5 linked regions of the Sus scrofa genome follow. The protein of the gene in region 5 binds, or shares a complex with, the protein of the main gene of each other region. Links are inferred from orthologs where the notes say so. Each region holds a gene or a part of one and is shown on either strand. Other genes may lie near its edges. The genes, in order: TUBGCP4, TUBGCP5, NME7, TUBGCP3 and TUBGCP2.

What was found.
Region 1: TUBGCP2 (region 5) and TUBGCP4 share a complex: the UniProt entries of both Homo sapiens proteins name them as parts of the gamma-tubulin ring complex. The link is inferred for Sus scrofa from reciprocal best matches to the Homo sapiens genes TUBGCP2 and TUBGCP4.
Region 2: TUBGCP2 (region 5) and TUBGCP5 share a complex: the UniProt entries of both Homo sapiens proteins name them as parts of the gamma-tubulin ring complex. The link is inferred for Sus scrofa from reciprocal best matches to the Homo sapiens genes TUBGCP2 and TUBGCP5.
Region 3: TUBGCP2 (region 5) and NME7 share a complex: the UniProt entries of both Homo sapiens proteins name them as parts of the gamma-tubulin ring complex. The link is inferred for Sus scrofa from reciprocal best matches to the Homo sapiens genes TUBGCP2 and NME7.
Region 4: the proteins of TUBGCP2 (region 5) and TUBGCP3 are in contact, whole or in part, in a cryo-EM structure (PDB 8Q62), measured with the Homo sapiens proteins. The link is inferred for Sus scrofa from reciprocal best matches to the Homo sapiens genes TUBGCP2 and TUBGCP3. Residues at the interface, in NP_006650.1 of Homo sapiens: Gln172, His173, Pro175, Ile176, Phe177, Pro178, Trp180, Arg184, Ala186, Leu187, Ile188, Gly189, Phe191, Leu222, Tyr223, Val226, Val228, Asp229, Gly230, Arg231, Glu278, Ser281, Phe283, Gln287, His290, Ala291, Ala294, Arg297, Val300, Lys301; in NP_006313.1 of Homo sapiens: Glu272, Asn273, Cys274, Ser286, Leu287, Asp289, Thr290, Val292, Arg293, Glu296, Trp299, Ser361, Thr363, Leu364, Arg365, Leu368, Val369, Tyr372, Lys375, Ile376, Lys379, Ala382, Ala383, Asp386, His387, Ala402, Tyr403, Lys405, Thr406, Gly407.

What each region holds. Positions count from the first base shown.
Region 1 is NC_010443.5:128,069,873-128,075,347, forward strand, and holds part of TUBGCP4 (gamma-tubulin complex component 4), read right to left. Parts: intron 4,197-5,475; coding exon 4,074-4,196; intron 3,688-4,073; coding exon 3,634-3,687; intron 3,215-3,633; coding exon 3,158-3,214; intron 1-3,157. UniProt on the Homo sapiens protein: Component of the gamma-tubulin ring complex (gTuRC) which mediates microtubule nucleation.
Region 2 is NC_010457.5:32,011,751-32,017,225, reverse strand, and holds part of TUBGCP5 (gamma-tubulin complex component 5), read right to left. Parts: intron 4,524-5,475; coding exon 4,430-4,523; intron 3,414-4,429; coding exon 3,167-3,413; intron 1,136-3,166; coding exon 933-1,135; intron 1-932. UniProt on the Homo sapiens protein: Component of the gamma-tubulin ring complex (gTuRC) which mediates microtubule nucleation.
Region 3 is NC_010446.5:81,638,367-81,644,410, reverse strand, and holds the start of NME7 (nucleoside diphosphate kinase 7), read right to left. Parts: upstream 4,505-6,044; 5' UTR 4,373-4,504; coding exon 4,370-4,372; intron 4,234-4,369; exon of another isoform or gene 4,104-4,233; intron 1-4,103. UniProt on the Homo sapiens protein: Possesses an intrinsic kinase activity. Displays 3'-5' exonuclease activity with a preference for single-stranded DNA. Does not seem to have nucleoside diphosphate kinase activity.
Region 4 is NC_010453.5:78,214,610-78,220,084, forward strand, and holds part of TUBGCP3 (gamma-tubulin complex component 3), read right to left. Parts: intron 4,618-5,475; coding exon 4,499-4,617; intron 3,814-4,498; coding exon 3,688-3,813; intron 1,270-3,687; coding exon 1,201-1,269; intron 918-1,200; coding exon 785-917; intron 1-784. UniProt on the Homo sapiens protein: Component of the gamma-tubulin ring complex (gTuRC) which mediates microtubule nucleation.
Region 5 is NC_010456.5:141,242,557-141,248,031, reverse strand, and holds part of TUBGCP2 (gamma-tubulin complex component 2), read left to right. Parts: intron 1-376; coding exon 377-553; intron 554-1,255; coding exon 1,256-1,415; intron 1,416-4,922; coding exon 4,923-5,130; intron 5,131-5,290; coding exon 5,291-5,475. UniProt on the Homo sapiens protein: Component of the gamma-tubulin ring complex (gTuRC) which mediates microtubule nucleation.

The sequences.
Region 1 (5,475 bases), on a different chromosome or scaffold from region 5:
TCGTACAGCACAAACTCTTATCCTATATTCAACCCGGAGGGCACAATCCAGCAGAGAATGGGAATAAATTTTCTCATAAGAACTATACATCCTTTTGATTCTGACTCCAATTCCAGTGTTTGAGAGGTTTCCTCACACGGCCAGTCCTAAATCCAACTCATCTCTGATACCATCTACCCAGAGACAGCCTCAGATTCCACAGGTTAAAGGTTCAGTAGCCAAGCAGGTCCTCCACTTTCAATACCAATCACAAGCTCAGGAAGCCCATTACTCACTAGATTACCCATTTCTTACAAAGGACACTAAAGCAACACCCAGACAAAAGGATACAAAGGGTGGGGTCGCAGACAAAGGAGCTTCTGCCTGCCTAGGGGCACGTGGAGTAATTGCACTTCACCAACCTGGAAGCTCTGCGAACCCTGTCCTCTCAGGTTTTTATGGAGCCTTCACTACACAGGCAACATGGTTGATTTAATCACTGGCCACTGTTGATTGAACTCCAGTTCCGGCTCTCTGCCCTCTGCCCCGCCCCTCCTCTCCCTGGAGGGGTTGTGTGGGCGGGGCGGGGTGGGGAGATGGTGGGATTGGAAGGACCAACCCTCCAATCACATGGTTGGTTCCTTTGGCAACCACCCCCATACTTAGGTGCTCTCCAAAAGTTACCTCATTAACAAACTCAGCTATAGTAGATAGGGATTTGTTGTAACTATCAAGATACCTTTATTGCTGTCATTACTTAGGAAATTCTGAGTTTTAAGAGTTCTGTGACAGAAATGGGACAAAGACCAAATATACACATTTCTTATTATAAATTGAAACATCACGATAGTTGTTCTCAAAGTAGGGACCCTCCACCCACCCCATCCCCCCAGCAGCAGCAGCATCACCTGGAAACTGGTAAGAAATGCAACTTCTTGGACCTGCTGAATCAGAATCCCTGGGGTAGGGCCCAGCGATCTGGTTTTAACAGTCTGCCCCAGATCATTCTAATCCACAGTGAAGTTTGGGAATTACCACACTAGGGAAAGGAATATCATAGAGAGTTGAAATTCCAAGCAAAGAGGTAAAGAGAGCTCTTCAGATTAAAGCCTAATTCAGCTTTCTTATAAGGTATATACTTTTCTTTCTTTCTTAAAAAACCACCTTACTGAGGTATAATTTACACACCAGAAAATTCACCCATTTTGAGTGTACTTTCAACAGTTTTGAGTAAATTTGTAGCATTGTGCAATCAACACCATAATCCAGTTTTACAACATTTCCATTACTCTAAAAGGATCCCTTGGGGCCAATGCATTCACCCCTGTTCTCACCCACAGCCTGTGTTCTTGACTACCTGTTTTTTTGGGCCTTAGCACTCAGCTTCCTACCACCTTCCTAGCAGGAACGAAGCTTCACGCATCTGCAATCTCCCTATTTATTTACTATTCTCCTTCCTGTGGCCAATGGAAGTTCAAATTCAACTGGGATGTGCAGCAATGCACGGACGCTAACACTAACTCCACTTACCTAGAAAGCCGCCTCCAATTCTGGGAGCTGGTTTAGTAGAGAGGTTAAGAGCATAGTCCCCACAGATGGCTGTGGGTTTTATAGCCCAGCTCTACCGTTTACTACCAGCTGTGTGACCCTGTGCACATTCCTTAATCTATCTGATTCCTCAGAGGACTGACTGTATGTGAAGCACTTAGCACAGTGCTTGGTATGCAGCTAGTGCACAATAAAAGCTCCATGTTACTTGATGAGGGCAATCAGCTTTGTCAGGCTAAAGAGCATCCCCCACCCCTGCCCCACTGGCTTGGCTGGCACAGGATGAACACAGCAGAGTGTAAGTTTCTAGATTTATACAAGAAAAAAATGAAGTAGCCATCTGACAAACTAACTGGGTAACTAGTTATATTCAAGTGAACACTCCTAATAAGCTAAGGCACAACTGTAACAGCTTAAAAACATGAATGAACTAAACATGTTTAATCTGTCTTCTCTAGTCCAATTACAAACTAGCAGATTTTCTTCTAATATAAAAGCATCAGGAGTTCACATGTAGCACAGCAGCTTAAGGATCTGGCATTGTCACTGCATAGGTTTGGGTTGCTGTTGTGGCAAGTGTTTGATCCTGGTCCAGGAACTCCTGCATGCCGTGGGCGTGCCCCCCATCCCACCTCCCCTCCCCAAATCTCAAAGCATCTCAGAGTTATTAATTCTGCCAGAAAAGATACTCTCTGGACACTGGAGACCCTAATTTTCAATGCATATGATAAAAACTTGTGATGAGAACAGGCATATATTAAGAGTTCTGACTGTGCCACAGTGGGCTAAGAATCCAACTGCAGTGGCTCCAGTGGCTGTGGAGGTCCAGGTTTGATCCCCAGCTCTGTGCAGTGGGTTAAAAAGATCTGGCATTGCCACAGCTATGGCTCAGATTCAATCTCTGACCCAAGAACTTCCATGTGCTGAGGGTGCAGCCATTTAAAAAAAAAAGAAAGAAAGAAAGAAAAGAAAAGGCATATCTAACTAATAAATAAACATCTGGCTTTCATCAATGATTAAATAATTGTCAGAAAACTACCAGCACCCTAATGATAAATCTACCACCTTTTTTCATTCTAAGGAGTAACTTTTATGCTTTTCTTCTAGATCTGTGTCCAGTAGTTCTAAATCCTTAGTGTACAAAGCTCTCACCTCCAAGTATCCACAACATTATTCTCTTACCCAGCAGCATTCTTGGGTACATCTATTATCATTTCCCTCACCGTCTGGACCCAGAAGGTGCTTAAAGGCTGGGTCATAACTTATTTTTGCATTCCTGATACCCAAGCATGATATTGTTGAATGAATAAAGAAATAAGTTAAAAACTACTGAAAACTAGGGTCTCAAAAAAAAATGTAGGGAGTTCCCTTTGTGGCTCACTGGGTTAAGAACCTGACTAGTAGCCATTGCTGTGAGCTGTGGTATAGGGATACAGATGCGGCTCAGATCTCACCTTGATGTGGAAAGCCGACAGCTGCAGCTCCAATTAGACCCCTGGACTGGGAACTTCTATATGCTGCACTTGCAGCCCTGAAAAAGCAAAAAAAAAAAAAAAAGAATGTAAAGGAAAATTAAATACAGTATCCCATTGGTGCTTATGCAAGCAAAAGAAAAATGGAAAGTTCTCACCTTTTGACTTTTAATTTGTTCTACTACAACCATTACAGAAGGGAAAAGGAGCTGGAACTGCAAAGTAGAGAATAATTAGGATGGTATATAATCAAATGCAAGGAAAAACAATTAACTCAGGAAAAGCCTTTGTTTCTAAACAGTCCCACTTAACATAAAGAAGGCAATCACTGAACAGCCCAGGTCCAGTACCCTAAGACAATCTGATATGGGGGTTGGCTGCAGGCACAAAGAGAATGGCAGACAGAACCAGTTCTCTGCGGTTAGCGTAACTGTTAACACTGAGGCCAAGCTATAGCACTAACATCACAAAGTAAGTTTTTACTAAACTTGGAGCTTTTCAAACAGTTGGGATCCAGGAAAGCATACAAAATATCAAATCCTGGGCTCTGAATCCAGAAGGGAACAAGTTGTCAAAAACAGTAAGATTATTCTAACAACAGATTCCAAAGCATTTTGTTACCTGGGCAACACACCTGATCTAAGGAGTAATTGATGTGTGATATGGAGAGATGCGGGTCAGCCAGGAACTGCAACAAAAAACATTGATTAGGACTCTATATAAAAGATCTCAAATCTATTTCAACATGAAGACTGGAAGGGAATCTGAGAGTAGGCTTAAGGTTTGTTTTAGGCAACAGAGAATTGATCATTTAGAGAAGATTGCTCCTTCTGAATTTCAGGTGATAATAAAACCGAAACAAAGGCTCTTCCTTCTAAACTCACCGAGATCCTTTGCCGTGGTCTGCACGTCCTTTGATCAGGGCTTAGGCAATCACAGAGCACACACTGTACCCACCAGCCACACAGAAAACAGCTCACTCTTAACTACCCGACTATATCCAAGGGCATTTCAAATCCAGAACAGGACCCTTTCTGCTGTCCCAGAGGTGTTGCTTCCCATTTCTCCTCTCACCTCTTGTTCCAAATCAAGCAGTGCTTGGCGATAAGGCTGCAAAACTGAATCCAGCCCCGTGCAGAAGGCTCTAAGGTAGATTCCGTGTAACCCACCTTGGCCCTGCTGAGATGGATGGTGATCCTGAAATCAAACAAAAAGAAGTCAACTTTTCAACTCAGACCCTGAAGCCCAGGAAGACATTATCCTTTATTAATAGCATGTTTTGTTTTTGTTTTGCTTAAATAATTCCCTATCAAAGCAGTACTTCGAAAAGAGGAAAACTTGACTGAAGAGAAAGATTTTGAGTCCTGGTCTTTTATTTATTTACTTATTTATTTAATCACAGCTGCGTTCTCGGGCCAGGGATCAAATCCGAGCCACAGCTGCTTGGATTTAACCTGCAATGCCTTTAACCCACTACACCAGGCCGGGGTTCAAACTCCAAGCTGCTGCAGTTGGAGTCTTTTTTTTTTTTTTAATTCTTCTCCTTTTTAAAAAATTATAGTTGATTTACAATGTTGTGCCAATTTGCATTCAGATTCTTAACCCACTGCACCATAACAGGAACTCCTGATCTTTTAAAATGTGATAATGTTTTAATTTTCCAAGTGGTTCAGATATTACAAACAAGGTATTACTCCATATTCAGCGGAGGTTTTTCAACAACTCAATTCTAACCTTACAGCCTCTGGCTTAAGTCCCTTTGGTGGCTTCCTCTTGTCCCAGAATAACCTTTAAATTCCCCTCCATGGCTTACGGTGATTCCTGCATTCAGGCCCTGACCCTCTTTCCAAAATTATCTTTCACTGCTTCCAACTTCACATGCTCATTTCCAGACCACTCTCAGCTCACCTGTTGTGCCTTGCTTCTATCTCCCACTCCTGTGAATTTGAGCGTATTCTACTTATAACTGAGGGCTCATCTTTGTGATAAATACTTACTATTCCTGCAGGACCCAATGCAAGCATCTTCTCCCTGCAAGGCCCTTTTAACCCTTCCTAGGGAATTAACAGCTCCCCTTTGTTGCTTTCACTGCACCTCTATTTACTGCTAGAATTGTACTTTTGTTTATCTGTCCTCTCACTAGACCAGGAGCTTCATGAAGTGAGGGCCCACATGTTACTCATCTTTGCATTCCTCGCACAGTTCTTTGAACAGTTGGTAAATATTTAATGAATAAATAAAATGACCTCAATTCTCTTCTAATAACCCTTCTCTTGCCTGGCATAGAGATTCATCAAAAACATGAATCTGAGAGCCAACACAGGGAATTGTTAGATGCTCACCAAGAGGCTATTTAGAAAAAATGGCTTACCTTTCAAGAAAGCTGAAGTTTTGTTTCGGCGGTTTTTTTTTTGTTGTTTTTTGTTTTTTGTTTTTTTTTGGTTTTTTTTTTTTTTTTTTGGCCTCACCCATGGCA
Region 2 (5,475 bases), on a different chromosome or scaffold from region 5:
CAGAGCTGAAAGAAATCAACTTCTTTTCTACTGAAATGCAGTACAAAAATGTTGAGAAAACAAAGTTACACCAAGAAATAAGGTAAAACATCCAAATTAACCTGCAGCTTTTCTAGATTATAGTCTCTAGTTAGACTTGTATTTTTTTTTAATTATGGTAAAAAAATACATAATATTAATTATACTACCTTAACCAATTTAAAGTGTACTGTTCATTAGTGTTTAGTGTATTCATACTGTTGTGAAAACAGACCTCCTCCAAACTTTTTTCATGCTGCAAGATGGAAACTCTACCTATTAACCATCTCCCCTTTTCTCCTCTCCCCTAGTCTCTGGTAACTACCATTCTCTTTTTCTGTGTTGACTACTCTAGATACTTTATATCATGGATTTGTTATTTTCATTTAAGAAAGGGTTATTATAAATATCTATATAAATCACCTAGGTATTTTTCACAGCTTGCTTTTACATTTTATTCTTGTGGCATTCTTCTGGTGATCTTGGCAATTATGGCTGAAAAACTAGTTTCTTGCAGCCTCAAGTTTAGAAGCTAATTTGAAAACTCAGAACAGGAGTTCCCATCATGGTTCAGTTGGTTAACGAACCCAACTAGTATCCATGAGAACTCGGGTTCAATCCCTGACCTCTGCTCATTGGGTTAAGTATCCAGCATTGTGGTAAGCTGTGGTGTAGGTTGCAGATGCGGCTCAGATCCAGCATTGCTGTGGCTGTGGTATAGGCTGGCTATAGCTCCAATGTGACCGTGACCCCTAGCCTGGGAACTTCCATATGCCATGGAAAAAAAAAAAAAGAAAACTCAGAACAACTCTCTGATACACCATTTTTCTGAAGATCTATGACAGATTATCCACCACTCCCGTGGTTGACCAGAATGAGTTACACTCAGTGGACTAGAAAAGGGTCCCACATACAGTTTGCTCAGAGGCTTCTCCAACATTGTCATATTCAAGGATGGCTTTGTACAGGGTGTTAAGCAGGTGAGATGCCCGAACAACATTTCGAGTGTCAGGTGGAACTTCTGCTACTCCAGTACTAAACACTTTGTGCAGAACCTTGAGCTGAGCCAGTCGAGGTGACAACTTGTCCACCACAATTGCAAGAGTTACTGTAGTATCTGCAAATACCCAGAAATCAAACTCATTAGCAAGGAAATATATCTGCAGTCAAAATGTGATATAAATGCTAAGACACTTGTGGAAAAGCACAGCAAACTGGAGGATGGTGAGTTTTAATCTCATATAAATTTTCCTAAATAAAAAAAAAAGAACTCACTAAAGAAGGAAAAGACAACTTAGAAAAATAATAAATGAAGGAACTGACATTTCATGGAAAAGGAAATTCAAGTGCTTCTTAAACATAGAGAAAGACACTCAACCTCACTTATGAAAAAAGGATGCAAAATAAAAACTACACTGGGCAAACAAAAAACAGACTACAGTGGGTTCCATTTTAGTGAGGGGAAGCTGGGAAGGGTGCCGACAAAAGGCAGCAAGAACAAGTTCCCTCATCAGGATGGCATAGCTCTGAATCCTAAATATGGAGGTGGTTATACAAACCTACACATGTGATAAAATGTCAAAGAACCTCCCTGCAAAAAGCCAAGTACCTGCAAAACGGGTAAAACCCATGTCAGGTTTGCAGACACGTTAATGTATTGTGCCAATGTCGATTTCTTAGTTTTGCTAACATATTATAATTATGTAAGATGTTAACACTAGAGGAAGTTGGGTGATGGGGACGTGGGACCTCAGTGTACTATGTTTTTTGCAGTAGTTATAAAGTTACAGGTTACAGTGATCACCTTTACTGGGTCACCACCATTTTCACCTATCATATTGGAGAAAACTCAAAAGTTTCAAAACACACCATTGGCAAGACTGTGAACAAATGGGTACTCATATATAATCCTGGCAAGAGTGTAAAGTTATTTATCTGTATCTCCGTGGAGAACAATGTGGCAATATCTATTGAAATTGCCTATGCCCTCACATACCCTTTGACTTAGCAATTCCACTCTGAAGAATCTGTGCTATAGGTACCGTGTTTTCTAAACATGTGTACAATTACTTACACATAAGTGGTTATCACTGAAGCACTGCTGGCAACAATAAAAGATCAGAAACAGCCTAAATGGCCATCAAAAGGTGACTGGTCTATGATTCATCCATACAACAAAAGGCTCAATTTGTAAAAAAGAACGAGGAGGCTCTTTATATATTTGCATGGTATAATCCTCAAAGTTTAAATTAAGAAACATTTTGGGGGAGTTCCTGTCATGGCGCAGTGGTTAACAAATCCGACTAGGAACCATGAGGTTGCGGGTTCAGTCCCTGCCCTTGCTCAGTGGGTTAACGATCCGGCGTTGCCGTGAGCTGTGGTGTAGGTTGCAGACGCAGCTTGGATCCCCCGTTGCTGTGGCTCTGGCGTAGGCCGGTGGCTACAGCTCCGATTGGACCCCTAGCCTGGGAACCTCCATACACTGCGGGAGTGGCCCAAGAAATAGCAAAAAAAAAAAAAAAAAGAAAAAAGAAACACTTTGAAGAGAGCAGTTAATGGATTACTACATATGTGTAAATGAATATGCTTTGCTTTACATAGGTCCAAATTATTTCTGGAAGGATGTCTAAGAAACTGATCACATGGTTGCCTCTGGGCTTGGGCACTGGCACAGGAAGAATTTTTCAGTATAAATCTTTCTATACTGTTTGGATTTTGAGAAATGAATGGCTTAAAAATGATTTTTAATAAAATGGCTTAAAATAATTTTTAAAAATGAGTGTATTCAGGGAGTTCCCCTTGTGGCTCAACAGTAATGAACCCAGCTAGTATCCCTGAGGATGCAGGTTCAATTCCTGGCCTCACTCAGTGGGTTAAGGATTCAGCGTTGCCATTAGCTGTGGTACAGGTTACAGATGTGCCTCAGATGCCACGTTGCTATGGCTGTGGCATGGGCTAGCAGCTGCAGCTCCAATTTGACTCCTAGCTGGGGAACCTCCACATGCCATAGGTATGCACCCCCACCCTCCCAAAACGAGTGTATTCAGAATTACTTATTTGCCATGTAATTTTCAAATCTTGTATCAATTGTTAACCTAAACAGCATTCCAATGTGTCTTATGAATAAAAAGGAAGAATATTTAAATACCATTATTGATGATGCACTTCTCAATTTCTGAAAGTTCCTCTTTGAAACTAATGAAATATTTGTACAGGGCCCACATGAAAGCCTGGTATGTTCTAAAGGGTGCGTCAGTCGACTTCTTGGGAACAGAACCATTTCCAGGTAACGTGCTTTCAGAGCTATGCCCCATGACTTCATCAATGAACTCCTGGAGTCGAAACACAACTTGGCCATATGCAGCTATTTGTTCTAGCACTGATCGTAAGCAGCTCTACAACAGAAGCAAACCACAATGGTTTAAAGTCAGTCCCCTGCAGGCATTGTTATTCATATCCCCCTCAGTGTAAAATATTTCTTCTATGATCATTTCATTTATTTATTTATTTTTTTGTCTTTTTGCCTTTTCTAGGGCCGCTTCTGAGGCATATGGAGGTTCCCAGACTAGGGGTCTAACTGGAGCTGTAGCCGCTGGCCTATGCCACAGCCACAGCAACTCGGAATCCATGCCATGTCTGCGACCTACACTACAGCTCATGGCAATGCTGGATCCTTAACCCACTGAGCAAGGCCAGGGATCGAACCAGCAACCTCATGGTTCCTATGATCATTTTAAACAGTATGCTTAGTAACAGATAAAGTTATAAAACGAATATTCAGTTTCATATTCAAAGGAAATAGTGTAAGCATTAATTTTTATAAAATATAACATTTTGGCTTATATTTTTTCTAAAAACAGGAGTTCTGGTCATGGCTCAGAGGTAACGAACTAGACCAATATCCATGAGGATGCGGGTACAATCCCTGGCCCTGCTCAGTGTGAGCTGTGGGAGAGTTTGCATGGCTCAGATCTGACGTTGCTGTGGCTGTGGCTATGGCCGGTAGCTGCAGCTCCGATTCGTCCCCTAGCCTGGGAACCTCCATATGCCAAAGGAGCAGCCCTAAAAAGCAAAACAAAAAACAAACAAAAACAAAAAAACAGAATCAAAACCCAAAAACCCCCCACATACATATAAGGTAAACATATAATACCATAGGCAGAAAAACTATAATAGCTCTCCCAATACAGAATGACAAAAAAAAAAAAAAAAAAATCAGAAAACATAAAACAAAACTAAATATGAACATCCCAAACAATTCTCTAAATACTGTAAAGATACAAACTTAATTTTGTCTTTTGGATTTTAAATATATTTAGCAGTTAATTTTAATACTGCAAAATGTTCTAAAGTTACAATTTTAATTACAATATTTAATTTTATTTAATTACAATAAATGCAAACAACTTACATGTGTCAAGTGAGTTACCATAATATTGTTTCTCACAGCTACCTTTCCATCTATCAACTGAAATATAAACAGCTTTTTTACCCCTGAAAGTAACCTGAAATGAAATAAAAAAAAGACGAATGAAATTTAAGTCTCAGAAAATGTTCATTACACTAATGCCTAAGAAATTTTCATAAAAAGAAGGGAAGGGTGAGGGATGGCACAGGTCAGATAATTAGAAAATAGAAAATATCAATCTTTTTTATCTAATAATTTTAAGACTCAAGATAGTTCAATATCATCTTTTAAAAAGTCTAAAGTGGAGTTCCCGTCGTGGCACGTGCTTAACAAATCTGACTAGGAACCATGAGGTTGCGGGTTTGATCCCTGCCCTTGCTCAATGGGTTAAGGATCCGGCGTTGCAGTGAGCTATGGTGTAGGTGGCAGACGCAGCTCGGATCACAGGTTGCTGTGGCTCTGGCGTAGGCCAGTGGCTGCAGCTCCAGTTAGACCTCTAGCCTGGAAACCTCCATATGCCTCAGAAGCAGACCTAGAAAAGACAAAAAGACAAAAAAAAAAATTAAAAATTAAAAAATAAAAAGTCTAAAGCACGGAGATCCCACCGTGACACAGTGGGTTAAGAATCTAGCTGCTGGAGTTCCCGTTGTGGCGCAGTGGTTAACGAATCTCACTGGGAACCATGAGGTTGCGGGTTAGGTCCGTGCCCTTGCTCAGTGGGTTGACGATCCGGCGTTGCCATGAGCTGTGGTGTAGGTTGCAGACGCGGCTCGGATACCCCGTTGCTGTGGCTCTGGCGTAGGCCGGTGGCTACAGCTCCGATTCAACCCCTAGCCTGGGAACCTCCATATGCCACGGGAGCGGCCCAAGAAATAGCAAAAAGACAAAAAAAAAAAAAAAAAAAAGAATCTAACTGCTGCAGTTTGGGTCACTGTGGAGGCACAGGTTCATTCCCCAGCCTGGTGCAGTGGGTTAAAGGATCCGGTGTTGCCACAGCTGCATGCCACAGCTGCAGTATTGGTTGCAGCTGTGGCTCAGATTCAATCCTT
Region 3 (6,044 bases), on a different chromosome or scaffold from region 5:
GAACTCCTGAAGCCTCTTGTAAAATAACATCAACTTTGAGATATTTGTTTAGTTTAATTCTTGTGGAACATAGCTGATAAACTTTAAAGGCCTTAATTATACTAGCAGTTCACCTTGGTTAACAGTATTTAAATCAGTGGTCTATTTTAGAAGATATATAAATTCATACCTCTTTATTAGTCAAAAGAGTCTTGGAATTATCTCCTCCATTCTCTGTAGGCGCAAAAGCAAATAAATTGATGGTTCTAGTATATTCTTTATCGTAAACAACGTGTATGTGAGATATACCTAACAGTGGCCTATCTCTGCTTCGTAAGGTAAAGGTGTTAGCCAGAACCCAACTCTGGTGCTAGAAGATACAACTGCAACAAACCAGATGCAGATAATTTAATTTCAGTGATCAGGAAGCCACACCAGCAGAGCAAACAAGCTCCATCTTCAGCTGCTTATAGAGACCACCAGCTTTGAAAGAGTACAGATGTCAGTGGTCAGGCTGAACACAGGAAAAGGGCTTTCATTTCTCTCTCTTTTTCAAAAGGCCTACTCTTTCTCTTCAAGGACTGACAGCAACAGACACAGGAGAGAGATTTGGATGCAGAAAGGATCTTGAAAATTCTACTAGAGTCAGTCTTAGGCTTTCATTAAATTCAGTTTTTCCTGATATGCAGTAAGATTGTCACTAGGTCAAAGGAGGAAGAAGCAATCTGCATGCCTTGAGATTTAAACAATTTTGCCATTCAGAGTATGTATTGTTTAAATACACTACATCCTGAACTTTGTGGATCATGATGCATAGTAAGAAATAAATATATTCTATAGCATAACCCTGTACACCCAACGCACATGCAATTTAAAACAAAAGTTTCATGAAAGTGACCCTTGCCATATGCAATGAATATGGAAAATGTTTATTTCATGTGTCTTCGTTTTAATGCTGCTACCTACCACAAATTGATTTCATGACTGAGTAATGGGATACAACCACAGTTTGAAACATACTGCTGTCTTCCCCCTGCCTACCTTTCTACCCTAATTTCCTGCTAATCTCCACCACACACCTGTACTGCTACCACCCCCACATCACCTCATAATCTAATATCTACTCTTTTTTCACATTAAACCATAAGGTCAGTTCCTGCAATACTCGACGCTCCTTTGATCTTGTTGTTAGTTTGCCTAGAACCCTTCCCTCGTTCACTGCAGTTTATCATTCAGTCCATTCAGACAAAGCTCACTTCCTTAGAGGAGCCTTCATTTACCACCCAATTTGAAAGAGCCACCACACCCAACTCCAGGCAGAATAAGAGGATAGGGATAGAAGTTCACTGATCTTAGGGTTGTTGGGAATTCTGAATGAAAAAATATCAGACAGGCACAAAAAAACAGTATTCCACAAATGTCACTTACTATCTCCCTATGCCATGGTACAGATCACCAAATTCCAGCTATTGAAATTCTATTCCACTTGCTTTGTGGATTTTCTGATTCTGAAAAGTGAAAATTCCATCCTCCAATATCCCCCAAGTACTTGGTACCCTCACAGACACTTAACACATTCTTATTTTTTTTTAATTTATTCAGCTGAGTGCCTAATACAATCTAAGCAATGGCAGTGAACAAAATAAAGATCCATTCCTCTAACAGATCAAGTCTAGTAAGAGTGACAAACCTATTAAATAATTTCAACTGAATGTGGTAAGTACAATAAGAGAAATGTGTACTGTGTAAAGTTGTGACAAAAAAAGAATGAAGAGTCAACTCTCTCTGAGTAGAGAAAGAAGAAAAACACCTAACCTAGGAATGAAGAATCAATAGGAGTTTGGCTAGCAAACATGGCAGTAAAGGTATTCCAGGTGGAAGGAACAGCATGTGCAAAGTAGAGGAAAGAGGCTTACCACCAGTTTGCAGTTGCTTGGAATGTTCAATGAAAAGGCAAGTAACTAAAAGAATGTCTAAGAAAGTTTCATGACAGAAGCAAGACAGGTTAAGTCCTAGATCATAGAAGGCTTTGTATGCCATTCCAGATAGGCTGAATTTTTATACTGTTGGGAATGAGGAGTCTAGAGTTCTAAAGCGGTAATTAACATCAACAGATTTAGGGTTCAGTAAATTCCTTCTTGTGGTAGAGAAAATAATGAATTGAAGAATTACCAGACCAGAGTGTTAAAGACACTACTACAACAGTGCAAGCAAAAGCTGAGGAGATCTCGGAGTTCCCGTCGTGGCACAGTGGAAATGAATCCAACTAGGAACCATGGGGTTGTAGGTTCTATCCCTGGCCTCGCTCAGTGGGTTAAGGATCCAGAGTTGCCATGAGCTGTGGTGTAGGTTGCAGAGGCTGCTCAGATTTGGCATTACTGTGGCTGAAGCATAGGCTGGTAGCCGTAGCTCTGATTACACCCCTAGCCTAGGAATCTCCATAAGCCTCGGGTGAAGGCCTAAAAAAAGCGAAGGAAAAAAAAAAAAGAATTGAGGAAATCTGAAACTAAACCAGAATCAGGTGACCAACTGAACAGAGAAGACATAGGAGAGAAAGGAGTGTAGGAAAACTCTGGTTTCTGGTTTAGGTTATAAATATAGTGGTAGCATCAACTTGGTGAAACAAAAAAAGCCAGGTGAAAAGACAGCAAGTTCAGTTTTGGTTGAGTTTGAGGGGCCTTTGTGGTAACCAGCTAGAAGTGTCCAGGTCTTACCAGATCTGAGATGAAACTGAAATTTAAGAATGAATGCTTACCAGGTCTGAGATGAAACTGAAATTTAAGAATGAATGCTTAGGCATTAGTGGAACACTTGTGTGTGGATGAAATCAGCCAAAGAAAATGGACAGACTAAGAAATTAAGGAATGAATCCCAGAGAATGGCATTTAAAAAGTAGGCAAAGCCAGTGGGGAAAAAAAAAAAGAAGGAATGAATGATGATGAGCTTCATCTATCAAAGAGAGGCTAAATAAATTTTGAGAAGAAACTCCTGGATTTGGCCATAAGAAATTTAAGCAAGAACAACTTCATGAAGCCATTAGAGGAATTCAGATAACTGAGTGCTGAGGATGAAAGTAAAGAGCTGAATTTGATACAAATGGAAGCACTATGCTTTCAAGCAGTTTACTGATAAATGGGAGGACTAGGCAATAAACTGAACGAACACAGGCTGGGGGTGTGCTTTTGTTTTATTTCATTTTCTTAAGGTGTATGGCTTGAACACGGGGGGGGGGGTGGGGGGAGAAGGAAATGGTGAGGAAGAGGCTGAAAGCACAGGAAAGAAAAAAATATAACCAAAAGCAGAAAGTCCTATAAGGAATGGGAGGGAATAAAATCTAGAGCAAAGATGGAAGCATTATCCTTCAATACCTGTTTCTCTGAACTAGAAACACAAGACCTAACAGAGAAAGAAGGGGTGGTGGGTGGATCTCTGTTTGTTGTTGCTGTTCTTTCTTTCTAGAGCCACACCTGTGGCATATATAAGTTCCCTCGCTAGGAGTCCAATCCGAAGCCTACACCACAGCAATGCCAGGTTCTGGCTAAATCCTAAGCGGCAGCTTGCAGCAATGCCAGATCCTTCACCCACTGAGCGAGGCCAGGGATCAAACCCACATCCTCATGGATACTACTCTGGTTTTTAATGCATAGAGCCACAACGGGAACTCTGGGTGGGTCTCCATATTTAATTTCATAGCCATACCTGGCATTCTCGAACATGTGATCGAATGAAAATCATCTATAGGCTTTTTTAAAAATGCAAATATGGAGCCTGTTTCTATTCATGCAGAATTTCTGAAGGTGAAGCTCTAGCAAGTGAATTTTCCAGAAGTGATTTCCAAGTGATATTATGGAGTATTCCTGTTAAAAGGTAATCAACTGTATAATTTAGGGCTAGTGCAAAATGCAGCTATTATTAGGTGGCCCTTAGGGTGTGGAACGGTACTCGGCCCTCAAGAGAGCAAAGACTACAGGATTCAGAGAGATTCGGATCAGTCATGAAAAAGTCAAATAAACATCACCACATACTTTTAAATGAAGCGTGTTAAAGTGAAGCTGAGAGGTTGAAAAAAATGCAATGATGAAAAATGCATACATCTCCAATGTTTGACCGAAATAAGGTCTCACCTCAGACTACTAGACTCCGTGTCTTAGCCTTAAACTTCCTGTCACAATACTCTACAGGCTCAGCAGGACCAAAGTGTAATTCAGGGTGCTGCAAGAAGTAGGGAAAGCGAGGAAATTGCACGGACAGTTCCTGGAAAGGGACAAAGAAATAACCAGCCGAAGGTAGAAGCGATCTGGATGCCTCTCAACGCCCAGACGCCCCAGGACCTGGGACAAAGCATAAACAAGACCGCGATGCCTTTCTTCTGACACCGCCTTGCACTCACCATCGCCTCGGGATCTCAGCACCAGGAAATAGGTAACTTTGCGACTGGAAAACACCTACACCAACACCAACGCCAGGTTACTCTGGCAACAGAGCCCCACCTACTGCCGGACTCGGAGCGGGCCGCCACTACCCCGCCCCTTTGTCCTTAGTGGCTGGGAGTAAATAGAGCTCCGCCCACCCAGCCGACCGACCCGCCCCTTCACGCCGTAGCTTGGAGCAACGGAACACCACCTACCTCTTTCCAGCATCATCACTTCCGTTTGGTTGAAAGGCGACCCGGAAGTTCAGGCTTATATGCGGCTAGGGTCCAAGTATTCTTTTTTTTATTTTTTAATAAGAGTCTACCCAGTTTTGTTTTACTGAAGTCTTGAATCGTATATTCTGCGTCACTGCGTCACTTGAGTTTAAATGGCACCAAAAGTGTTTTCCTTCTGAAAAGTATTCCGGAAACGAAACCCTGAGTAATCGGAAGTAATTAGCCGTGAACCAAAAGCTTGATGTCCCCAAGGTTGGGGCGGATCGGCTTCGGAATGCTAGAGGAGTGTGCGCGGAAGTTAACCCGTGATATCTAGCCAAAGAACCTGTAAAGTGAGGCCCCCTGCAATTGGGAGAGTAAGAATCTGAGAGGTAAGTCCAGGAAAGGGCTTGTGTAACTGAGAGGGGATTTTGGAAAGGGACAGAGGTTTGGATTGAAGTGTGTTGTTCATTCAGTCGCTTTAGATTTAAGGAAAGGTTGCCCGTTGTTCCAGGAAGGTTTGTTCAGACAGGGACGGAACTTTGGATTTGACTTCTGGGGATGGCAGAGGTTGACAGGATTGTCGCTTCCACTCCTGCCACCTTCATACCTGTTACACACTCCAGACCCACCCCCACCCCCTTCAATTAGTATTTGCCTGCAGACCTTTGTACATTTCCCTGCGCATCTTCCGAGGGTTCATTGCTCTTGCGAAGGGTCTTTGGAGAGCTATTTTTCAGAACAGTGGCGGCGGGGGTGTGACTTTTAAGGAAGGTAGGCACGGAAGACGCTATGCTGAGTTATATCGAGTACTCAAGAGTTATCATTTTTGTGAGTGAAACCATTTGTCATCTAGTGCCTGGTTCATCATTCGTGATCACTGCATTAGTATTACCTTCCTTCTCATGTTCTCGCCTGAATCTTAGTAAGACTAAGATTTAGTAAGGTCATGCATACATTCTGAAAATATATGCTATGACATTTTAATTTTTACCAAGAAATGCAAATTAAGTTATTATGAATTTTTTGTCACTTGTTAAACATCTAAACAGAAGCTCCTCTGTCATGTAGTGAACAAAATAGTGTCCATGTCTCCTGAGAAGGTAATTACTTTAATACCTTTTTTTTTCCCCTTTTTTGGGCTGCATCCGCAGTATTTGGAGTTTCCTAGGCTAGGGGTGGAATCCGAGCTAAGCTGCTGGCCTACAACACAGCCACAACAGCACACTATCCAAGCTGTCTCTGCGACCTACACCGAAGCTCATGGCAACACCAGTTCCTTAACCTACTGATCTAGGCCAGGGATTGAACCCGCAACCTCACGGTTGCTAGACGGATTCGTTTCCACTGCACCAGGACTGGAATTCCTAATTACTTTTAAGTTCCTGGTATCTATCAATAATACAGAGCACCTGTAGTAACTACAGTACTATTTCTG
Region 4 (5,475 bases), on a different chromosome or scaffold from region 5:
CACAAAGCGACAGAGCCAGGCGGCAGGTCACGACAAGCGTGTGAAGGCACAGAGCAGGGATGCCGGAGTCCAGGCTGGGGGCCAGGGGACACCGAAAGAGATGGGGCTGGGACGAAGGCAGAGGCGGGGCCTGCTGGTAGACGGGGAGCGCTGGGATTTATTCATTGTACTCGACTGATTTCCTTCAGAGGTAAGGCTGCCAGCCACGGTGAACGTGGCAGTTAGTCCTGCTGAGTTGTGGCTGGGGAACTGCCCCGAGGGGGAGGGGGCAGGGAGAGCAGAGGGCAGGCAGAGCACCGGCTCCCGAGTCTCATCTGGTCCTAACGGCCCTGGAGGTAGAGACTCTTAGTGTCCCTGTGTTAACTGATGAGACAAGGAAGTATAAACAGTGAGGAAAATGTCAAGAAGGCAACTAGAGATACAGACAAAAAGACCAGAAGAGGCCCAACCCACGGGCAAAGACGGGAGGCTGTCGCACAGCTGGTGCCCCACGTGGACCGCACTCCGGAGGAGCGAAACCCCAGGAAAGGCTGCTCATTGAGATGAGACAAAGGAACACAAACCAACAGCCCTAACGAGGCCCAAAACTACCCCCCGCCCTCCTCCCTCAGCTCAGGAGATCCTGAGCCTCCACAGGCGTGAACGCTGGGCCCTGCCGGCAACAGGCATTTTCCCCGCAAGGTCACGTCTACTCATTTGCATTTAATCGGCACACTTCTGGCTGTTAAGCATACAAAAGAGCGGGCTACCCCCTAAAACCCGCTGTGAAGTAAGGCAGAAGGACCTTGGCAGTGGTCCACCAGGGCTGCTAAGGTCTTCAGCCTCATCTTGGGGTCATACGTCCAAACCAGGAGGCGCCGCAGCGTCAGGCTGCTCTCGAGGCCCAAATTCACCCCCTGGTCGTCCTCTAACTGCAGCTGAAAATCAGGAGAGAGAACGAGTAAGCGCAGGTCACCACATACGTTACCCCCTCACTCCGTGCAGACCCGGGGAAGGGATTATTCCCATAAAAACGCAACAGACATGCCCTCCGAGATGACAGCTCAGGCCGCAGGTGACCTGCTGGCGCCAGGCCACCCGGGACCCTCGCGGCCCGTCCTTGCACGTATCGCCGGGTCCTGCTCCCTAAAAGCGAGGGCGGAAGCATCCGCTCGCGCAGCGCGGGGGGCGCTGGGCAGCTCCACGCCGGCGGGTGCTCACCTGGGAGTGCAGGACGGAGAGCAGGCGGTAGTACTCCCTGAGCTCCTGGTGCAGCGCCGCGCAGAAGCTCTGCGGGGGAGGGGGGAGGAGGCGCGTGAAGGCCGGACCCGAGTCCCGCACCCTGCACGCTCGCAGCAACGCACGGGAGCCGCGCGGGGCGCGCCACGAGCCCGAGGTCGCGGGTCCCTCGGGATTGGACTCCGCTTCTGGCCTCGGTCTTCGGGCGGGGCCACCACCACGCCGCCGTCCGGAGGGAGGGCGGGGCGAGGAGGAATCGGGTTCCACACAGCGAAGGCGCGTTGCCTTCAGCGAGGGCTGCGGGGCCGCATCCTTGTAAATCAAGTCGAGGCGACCCGCAGCACTGGGCGGGTCAGTTCCCCGCGGGCAGCACAGCGATTTGCTTCTGCACATACACGCATGCACTGCGGCTTATTCTTTTGGATTCTTTGGCGTGATAGGTTATTAGGAGATGCTGGGCCCCAGTTCCCTGTGCTGCACAGGAGGTCCTTGTTGTTTACCTGTTTTATGTACAGTCATGTGACTCTATTAATCCCCAAATCCTAATCTAACTCCCCCCTCGTGTGGCAACCGTAAATTTGTTTTCTGTCTGCAGGGAACAGGTTTTATCCTCTGCAGGTTCTGCCTGTCACGGGCTTTCGTGGAAACCAAAGCTTCCCCCTGAATGTCTCTGTCCCGGCTTACACCCGGAGTTCACTCCAGAAAATTCCGGTCACCAGAGTGTGAAGCTCCTTCCTACAGCTCTTGATGTGAGACCTCGGAATTTAAGAATGGAAACGTACAAGGCAGTTTTCAATAAACTCTGGACGGTACACACTGAACAATAACAACAACAATAATAACAATAATAGAAGGAATTGATAGTTATCGGTTTTAAAATATTGCTAGAGGGAGTTCCCATCGTGGCTCATCAGAAACACATCTGACTAGTAATCATGAGGACACAGGTTTGATCCCTGGCCTCCCTCCGTGGGTTAAGGATCTGGCATTGCTGTGAGCTGAGGCAGAGGCCATCAGCTGTAGCTCCGAATCGACCCCCAGCCTGGGAACTTCCATATGCCACAGGTGTGGCCCTAAGAAGACAAAAACATAAAAAAATAAAACAATTTAAAATAAAAAACCTGCTGTATAGAACTGGGAACTATAACGAGTCCCTTACAACGGAGCAGGATGGAAGATAAGGTGAGAAAAAGAATGTATATGTGTATGTGTGACTGGGTCACTTTGCTTATAGCAGAAAATTGACAGAACATGTAAACCAGCTATCACGGGAAAAATAAAAATCATTAAAAATAAAACTGAAATAAAATACTGCTAGCGAAGAGCATTAAAGAAAATGACACTTTCACACTAAAAATTTGGAAGGGAGAGACACGGAAGCAACCTACATGCCCACAGACAGAGGATCGGCTCCAGATGTGCATAAACACACGGACGCTCTGGACACTACTCGGCCGCAGAAAGGAATGGAATAAGGTCTTCTGCAGCAACACGGATGGACTTAGAGGTTATTGCATTAAGGGAGGTCAGAGAAAGACACGTATCTCAGAATATCACCTACATGTGGACTCTGAAAAAGTACAAATGAACTTCTTTACAAAACAGAAGCAGACTTGTGACAGAAAACAAACACGGTCACCAAAGAGGAAATGCGGGGAGGGAGAAACGAGGGGTTGGGGTTAACAGGTGCACGCTGCCATGTATAAAACAGATAAACAGGGATTTACTGTACAGCTCAGGGAACGCTTGCAAGAAGCTATAATGGAAAGGAGAAAAAGAATATAGACACATACACACATGTGTGTAAACAAAACACACTCTTGCATATGTCACTATACACAAGAAACACACTATTATAAATCGACTCTACATCCGTGTTTAAAAAAATATTTAAAAGAATCAGGTCAAAGGGAAAATACATAAAAACATGTCAAGTGGAGTTCCCGTCGTGGCGCAGTGGTTAACAAATCCGACTAGGACCCATGAGGTTGCAGGTTCGGTCCCCGCCCTTGCTCAGTGGGTTAAGGATCCGGCGTTGTCATGAGCTGTGGTGTAGGTTGCAGACGCAGCTCGGATCCCACGTGGCTGTGGCTCTGGTGTAGGCCAGCGACTACAGCTCCGATTCCACCCCTAGCCTGGGAACCTCCATATGCCGCGGGAGCAGCCCAAGAAATAGCAAAAAGGCAAAAAACAAACAAACAAACAAAAAACATGTCAGGTGACTCATCCATGGTCACTGTCCCTGAGAGCTCATTAAGCAGTCCTTGAGCGGCTATATTTGACTCCGCCTGTCGGTGCATACTGTGCTTTCTGTTCTCTCGGGTGGACCGCGACTGACGCAAGTCTATCATCCAAACTTCTCTCCATGGAAAGATTCCCCCTTCAGAGCTACCTTCACCCTAACACTGAGCAGAACAAGCATTTCCCCCAGCGAAGGCGCCCCGGGTGCCCCAGCAACAAACCACATACCTGACCTACGAGTCCAAAGGACCGGTCCAGACTCCTCTGGTCCGTGTACTTTCTGATCTTATTGTGTAACCACCCCAACTCCGCAAGTCTGACCGCCGTGTCCCTAAGAGACTTACTCAGGTTTGCCTGAAAAGCGAACATACCAAGAGTTAAAAATTCAAAAAATGTTTCAACACAACTAATTATTCTTCTTCTCAACCACACGTACTTTTATATCTGTATTTCTTACGCTTCAACCCAGGAAACTTTAACTGGTATACCAGCACTAAAGTGAAGACACGAAGCCTCTAGGAGACAGCTTCAGGGAGCGGGCGGGGAGGTAAAACACAAGACCTGGGCGCCACTGTCCCCAGGAGCGCCCAGCCAGGGCGCCCGGCGTAGGGGGACTGCCTGGGACATCAGTCACCTGGTGACTCAGCCAAGAGAAGCAGAAGGATGCAGGGAAGCCAGGACTGTGGAAAGGCAAGGTCAGGAGGACAGAAGCACAAGCAAGAAGCATCGTATGTGGAATCTGTATCGACGGCAAAGATGCCGAGACACCTGACGGGCAGGTAACTGTGGCGTGACCACGGAAGGATGCAGAGGCCGGCTGGAAGGGCAGCGGCCACCAGCGAAACAAGGCAAGGATGCAAGTGCTGAGGACGACGGCCCCCCAGACAAGGCCGCACAGGGACAAGAGCACAGCCTGACCGGGACTCCGAGTCTGCAAACCAGCTCTGTCACCCCCATCACCCCCTCCACCTCACAGCACTTACCTGGTCCTACTGACGTTTGACCTCTGAGCACTTGGGACGGGCTGGCAGCTACGTACCTTTCCCTCCACTGTGTAGCAGTTGTCAGCGTTGCTCATCTTGACATGCTTGCCGTCTATGCCCTGGAAGACGTACAGAATGTCTCTGACCAGGGCCGCCTCCGTAACCTCCACGGCACCTGCAACGGAGTTTCCACAGGAGAACCATCACCAAACAAGAGATGAATAAATTACAAAACACGGGTCGTCGCAGACTATATATCAGCAACCAGAACAAAATTTAAAAACTAAATAAATGAGTTTAAGGTGAAAAAGAACATGAAGTTCTAGGGAAAAGGATTTTCTGAAGAGGATACAGAGAGCCTATCATTTCTCTTCCAGAGTCTTTTAAAAAGACGAAGTAACATGTGGGAATCCGAGATGCAATCAAGGAGCAGCGCGGGACACACACACACACACACACACACACACACGGATGGGTCCTCATTCCACGTGGTGTCCAGAAAACTGGCTGAGCGCCCCACAAGCACACGAACCTGGCTGCGCCCGCACCTCCACCCCACAGGCGCTGGCACAGCACACGTGGGACAAAAAGCTGACTCGGGATTTAGGTGTGACCCTGTATCTGGACGACGAGGCAGAGCCCGGCAACCCAAGAGGCCAGCGGGAGGAGCACCTCGGGGCACGGCCGGGCCAGCGTCCAGGCGGGCAGCAATCAGCAGGCGGCCCGGGCCTGTACCCCGGCCGTGAGAGTGACTGTCCACTAAGTGCAAATGTGACCGACTGTCACTGCCCTTCTGCCTACTTGTCCATCCACGCCTGGGCGAAGCAGAAACCACCAAAGGCCTCGCGCCTCGACATGGGCGCAGGAAGCCCTGTGGGCAGCTGGACACATGGAGGCCATCCCACCAACCTAGGAGTGAGCCCTCATCGCGCCACCACGTGTCCCCATCCTCTGACCCAGCACTACCACCCAGCTTTCATACACTGCTGATCACAAGATGTTTTTTTTCCATCCATTTACTTGTACCGGCCTG
Region 5 (5,475 bases):
GCTGCGCTAACGGTGGGGGGGGGAGTAACTCGTGACGGTGATGAACCCGGGGCGTTGACAGCCACCTCTGGGGCTCGGCGCTTCGTGCCTGTGCACGTCCCGTTCTTGTCTGTTTTGAATTCAGGGCGTGTTACTGGGATGCTGAGCAAGTGTGTCTGTAACCTGAGGGGCTGGGGCACCGGGTGGGGGGCCATCACTCCGGGGACAGATAAGGGGACCTGGTCCCGTGCAGCCAGGGAGACTGGCCACATGCAGAGAAAGGCCCCACCACGGGGAACAAAGGCTGGGATCCCGTCCTCTTGTGATCTGGGCACGTGGCCCCTCGTGGTGGCCGTGGGTGGGCAGTGTGAGCGACGCCAGTACCGTGTGCTTGCAGACGCTGCAGTACTTACAGCAGAATGCCAAGGAGAGAGCGGAGCTCGCGGCCAGTGCTGCGGCCAGCAGCACCGCCAGCTTCGGCGCCTCCGCCACGGCCTCCAAGATCTCCATGCAGGAGCTGGAGGAGCTGAGGAAGCAACTGGGCAGCGTGGCCACGGGCCCCACGTGGCAGCAGGTACCACGCAGCCCCCGGATCTGGGTGTGGAAACAGGCTGGTCAGGACCTGGCTGGGGGCGGGAGCCCTGGGCCCATCGCGGGCGGTTCGGCCTCGTAGGCTGGTGTGTGGCTCAGCCACGGCAAGGCCGGTTCTGCTTTTCCCTGCATGGCCGCCGCGCAGTTAGTTCGAGATGCTTTTCTCCCTCACTTACAGCTCCTCCTGCTTTCAACGCAGTGGCTTGCTCTGCTCTCCTGCCGTCTGTCTGTCTTCCTACTGTCCTTCTTCCGTGGCCTTCGAGCCACTCAGAGCCACATCCCATGAGGTCTAAGCTGCAGGCCCGTGCAGTTGGGCACGCCCTGTGTCCAGCGCCTCTGTCCCTCGGCCCCTTGGGGCTCAGGTGGGGGCGCCCCTTTGCCACCAGCTCTTGCTGGGCCTCTCCCTCACCTGGCTGTCGTGTTTGGACCCCGTGCCTCGGGAAAGGTGGCTCAGGCCGCACGAGGCTGGGCCTGTGCTGTGGGAGGTGCTCTGGGTTGACCTGTGGGCGCACACAGGCCGGCCCCTGGCGTTGTGACGGCTCGGAGGCATGTGTTTCGTTTGCACACGTTTGTTGAAGGTCTCGTGAGTGCAGGGATCCGCTCTTCACACCTTAGCCGTGTCACTGTCAAGTGTTTGTGCTAAAAGTGTGTCTTTTCTCTTTGTTTCTGAAAATGCCTCTCCCAGTCCCTGGAGCTCACCAGGAAGATGCTTCGAGACAAGCAGAGCAAAAAAAACTCGGGCCAGCGTCTCCCGGTCCTCCCGGCGTGGGTGTACGAGAGGCCCGCGCTGCTCGGGGACTTCCTGCCCGGGACGGGCGGGAGCGCGGACACAGCTGTTCCCATAGGTAGGTGGCGCGCTGACTTCCGCCGGCAGGAGCCTCACAGAAGTCTGTCTGCGCGACGCCCGCAGAGATGGCAGGCGGGCCTCATGCTGTCACAGGCCTCCGCTGCCCTTGGGGTCCCACGGGCCGCCGTCCCCCACGTCCCATCCCTGATCACCAGTGGGTGGCGACGTGGCAGCTTTCGGGCGGCTCTGTGCTGGCTTCGGGAGAGTGTGTGTCCTGGGGCTCCCGCGGACCTGGGGGTCGTCCTTCTCAACAGAATTGCGGGCACTGCAGGCGCTGCTGCCGGGTGTCGAGCCCCCAACCACACAGGCCTTCTAGTGTCGCGTTCAGAGGACCATGGGGCCTTTGGGGACGCGGTATGTGTCCTGTCGCGTGCATCTCACCTGGCAAGCCCTCCCCTGGTCAAAGAGCCGTGTCATCCCTCTTGCTCACAGCGCTCGCGTGAGAGGAGGCGCTGCGGTGCCCTTCGGCTGCCACGCTTTCTCTGCACAGCACCTGCCATGTGGCCGCTGGAGGAGCTTGCCCCGCGGAAGTCGTCACGGGGCCAGAGGTTGCAAAACCTGGTCCCTGGGACCATGTCCAAGGACGAGAAGCAGGGTGGCGGGGGGGCTCCTGGTAGCACCGGAGGTCGTGGGCATGTAGGGGGCCTGATGCTGCAGGCCTGGGGCAGGAGATCCGGGGGCCTGCTGGGCTGGCAGGTGCCACAGGCTCCCCGTGTGGCCAACAGAAAGCAGAGAAGTTTCTCAGCGCTGCCAGGGGACTCTGTTGACGTCGGGTGTGTGTGGTCGTTAGAAGAGCTGAGTTCCCGGCCCTGCGTGAGGCCCACTCGGAACTGCCGGGGAGGCCCAGCCTCAGAGGAGGCGGCCAGGAGCTGGCTCAGCAGGGCAGGGTGTGCTCACAGACAGCAGACGTGGCGCGTTCCCATCTGGGCCCTGCCACTGGGGCGGGTCCCGCGCACACCCAGGGTGGGCCTGGCCGGGGGCAGCTTCTGCGGCCGCCTTGCACAACGACGCTCCCGGGAACTTGGGTAGGGCGGGCGGCCTGGCCACCTCCCTCCCTCAGCCACAGGCTCGCGAGGTGGGATCAGCGTCCGTCCTTCGGGCCCCATGTCACCTCTGTCACGCCCTGACACGGCTTCTCCCATGAGCCTCTGTCCCGTCTGCGCTCAGACCTGTGTGGTCAGGGTGCCTGTCCTCAGCCCTCCCCTGGCCTCCCTGTGGCAGAGTCTCACCTGGGAACCGCCTGCCCCCTCGTGCGACGTGCAGCCTGCCCCCCGCCAGCCACATGGTGCCTCCCAACCTCCTGGAGCGGAGGCAGCCCCCACCTGCCCGAGGCCGGGCTGCCCTTCTGCGCACGGGCCTGCAGCCCCGTCTGCTCACCCGGGCCGCCCCAGCCTCGTTCAGACGGTGCCGCGAGTCCGTCCTCAAAAGCCCTGCCCTGGCCTGGCGCTTGGCCCCAGAGACCCCACGTGCAGGGACCTCCTTGCCTCTAGCCATGTGTGCAGCTCCCCCCGCCGCCGCCTGCTGTGGCCTTTGTGGAGCCAGAGCCTCCGGCTCAGGTGCTCTGGGTGTGGCCAGTGGACACGGGTGGCTTGTCTCCCCTCTCGCCATCTCGGCCTGGGTCCTCAGGCTGTGCCTCTGGGCTCATCGGCATTTCCTTTTCCCGGGAGACCGCGCCTGTTTTAAGGAATCTGATGTCCCCAGTGTGGCCCCAGCTCGGTCCCTAGCACGGCTCTCCACGATTCCGGCTCATGTGGCCATTCATCTGCTGAGCATCCACGACGGCTGCCGGCCTTCCCCGGTGTCGTCGCCACTGCCGCGTGGTGACTGGTGGTGCCCGAGTCTGCCCCACAACCCCGTGCACAGCCAGCTGGGTCCCAGCGCCACCTCCCCCCACGCCTCCAGCCTGAGGGCGGCTTCCACCCTCAGCCACTTGGGCTCAGACGCTCCCACAGAGCTTCCTGTTCTGTCTGCTGTAACAGCTGGTGGACACTGGGTGCAGCTGGCGGGGACCTTGGTGGCTGCGACACTGCGTTGGGGTGTGGACCCTGAGCCCGCCCTGCCCCCAGGCCATCTCTGTCCTCAGAGCTGGCCTCAGGCGTCTGTTCTTTGCCCCTGAGGCCATCTCCATGGAGCGGTGGAGACCCTGGTGGCTTGGTCCGTCCAGTCCCTGCGCGGTGTCCCCTCACCTTGGAACATCTCCTGTCCCCTAGAGCTTGGCCTCAAGCTGGCCTCCTGACAGCCCTGCGCCCTCGGCTGGCCTCACGCGGTGCAGCTTGTGACGCTCCTCTCCCCGCGCTGCGGGCAGGGTCCCCACCCCAGGGCCTGCGCCCCCCGCCAGGCCGGGGTGGCCCCGACGTTGGCAGTAAATGGTGCAGAGGTCAGCAGCCCTGCACTTGAAGACCAGGCGGCCAGACCTGCCCACCTCCAGGGTCGTGAAGGTCACGTCCGAAGGCCGCTAGGGCCGTGGAGGGTCTGCGTGGAGTGGCTCTGAGTCCAGAGGGACCGGTGCCTGGACAGGTGGCCGTTGGACTCATACCTGTCCCACCTCTGCAGATAGGTGTGTGCCCACGGATGTGTGCAGCCGGCAGTGCCCCTGTCAGCTTGGGTGTCTGGGCCGCCCATCCTGAGCTGCCAGGCCCCGGCTTGGGTGCCCTGCTGCTGACCTGGGTCCCCACAGGGCCTGGGGGCGTGGGGGGCAGGGGCCGCCCTGCGGGGCCGGGGCTCTGGCAATGTCGCGGACGCCTTTCTCTTGGTGCTGCCTCCACCAGTGGGGGTCTGGGAGGGCGGCAGGACTGTCTGGGCTGTGAGGAGTTGGGGGGCGGCCCTGGTCCGTGGCCTGTGACTGTTGAGTCTGTCGGGGTCACAGGGAACCATCTCAGTCACGCGTGGGGTGGAAACCGTCGGCTCTTTGAAGCGTTCACAGAGAACCTCCTTATCCTCACACGGCCCGGGCTTACAGCTTGGAAGTACGGCGCGCATCAGAGGTGCTTCTGGGGAGTTCCCACCAGGGCTCAGTGGGTTAAGGACCCGACTGGTATCCATGATGTGGGTTCGATTCCTGCCCTCGCTCAGTGGGTTAAGGATCCAGCGTGGCTGTGGCCTAGGCCGGCATCAGCAGCTCTGATTTGACCCCTAGCCTAGGCACTTCCGTATGCCGCGGGTGCGGCCACACACAAAAAACAGTGCTTCCGATTCCCAGCCTGGTCCCTTTAGACAGGAACGCACGCGCATGTGTGTGTGTGTGTGTGTGTGTGTGTGTGTGTGTGTGTGCACGCATGCGCGCGCATGTGTGGGCTTCCGTTTGCTTGGTGCGCGCAGGCTCTGCCAGGCAGGGCCACTCCCAGGGTGCCCAAGCGCCTCTCCTGGTGGTCGCTGTGGAGGCACAGCCATTGGGGCCCCGCATGAGCACCGTGGTTCCGCCGTCCACGAGCGCCGGAGGCAGGTGCGCGAGGGGAGCGCACGGGGAGCCTGGCGGCGAGGCCCCAGCCGGCATCTCGGCCCACAGGCTCGCTGCCCCTGGCCTCCCAGGAGGCGGCCGTGGTGGAGGACCTGCTGTACGTGCTGGTGGGCGTGGACGGCAGGTACATCAGCGCCCAGCCCCTCACGGGCAGGCAGGGCCGCACCTTCCTGGTGGACCCCAACCTGGACCTGTCCATCCGCGAGCTGGTGAGCAGGATCCTGCCGGTGGCCGCCAGCTACTCCACCGTGACCAGGTAGATGCGGGAAAGCTGCTCAGCCCTCTCTGGGGAGAGGCCCCGGGGAGCAGGGACGAGGGCGCCTGGGGTGTCTCCTGGGGAGGAGCTGCGTGCAGGCGGCCTGGCCTCCTGAGGCGGCTGTGCCCTGGGGCTGGGCTGTGTGCCTTTCGTGCTGCAGGTTCATCGAGGAGAAGTCCTCCTTCGAGTACGGGCAGGTGAACCACGCCTTGGCGGCTGCCATGAGGACACTGGTGAAGGAGTACCTGGTCCTGGTCACGCAGCTGGAGCAGCTGCAGAGGCAGGGCCTCCTGTCGCTGCAGAAGCTCTGGTTCTACATCCAGCCTGCCATGCGCTCCCTGGACA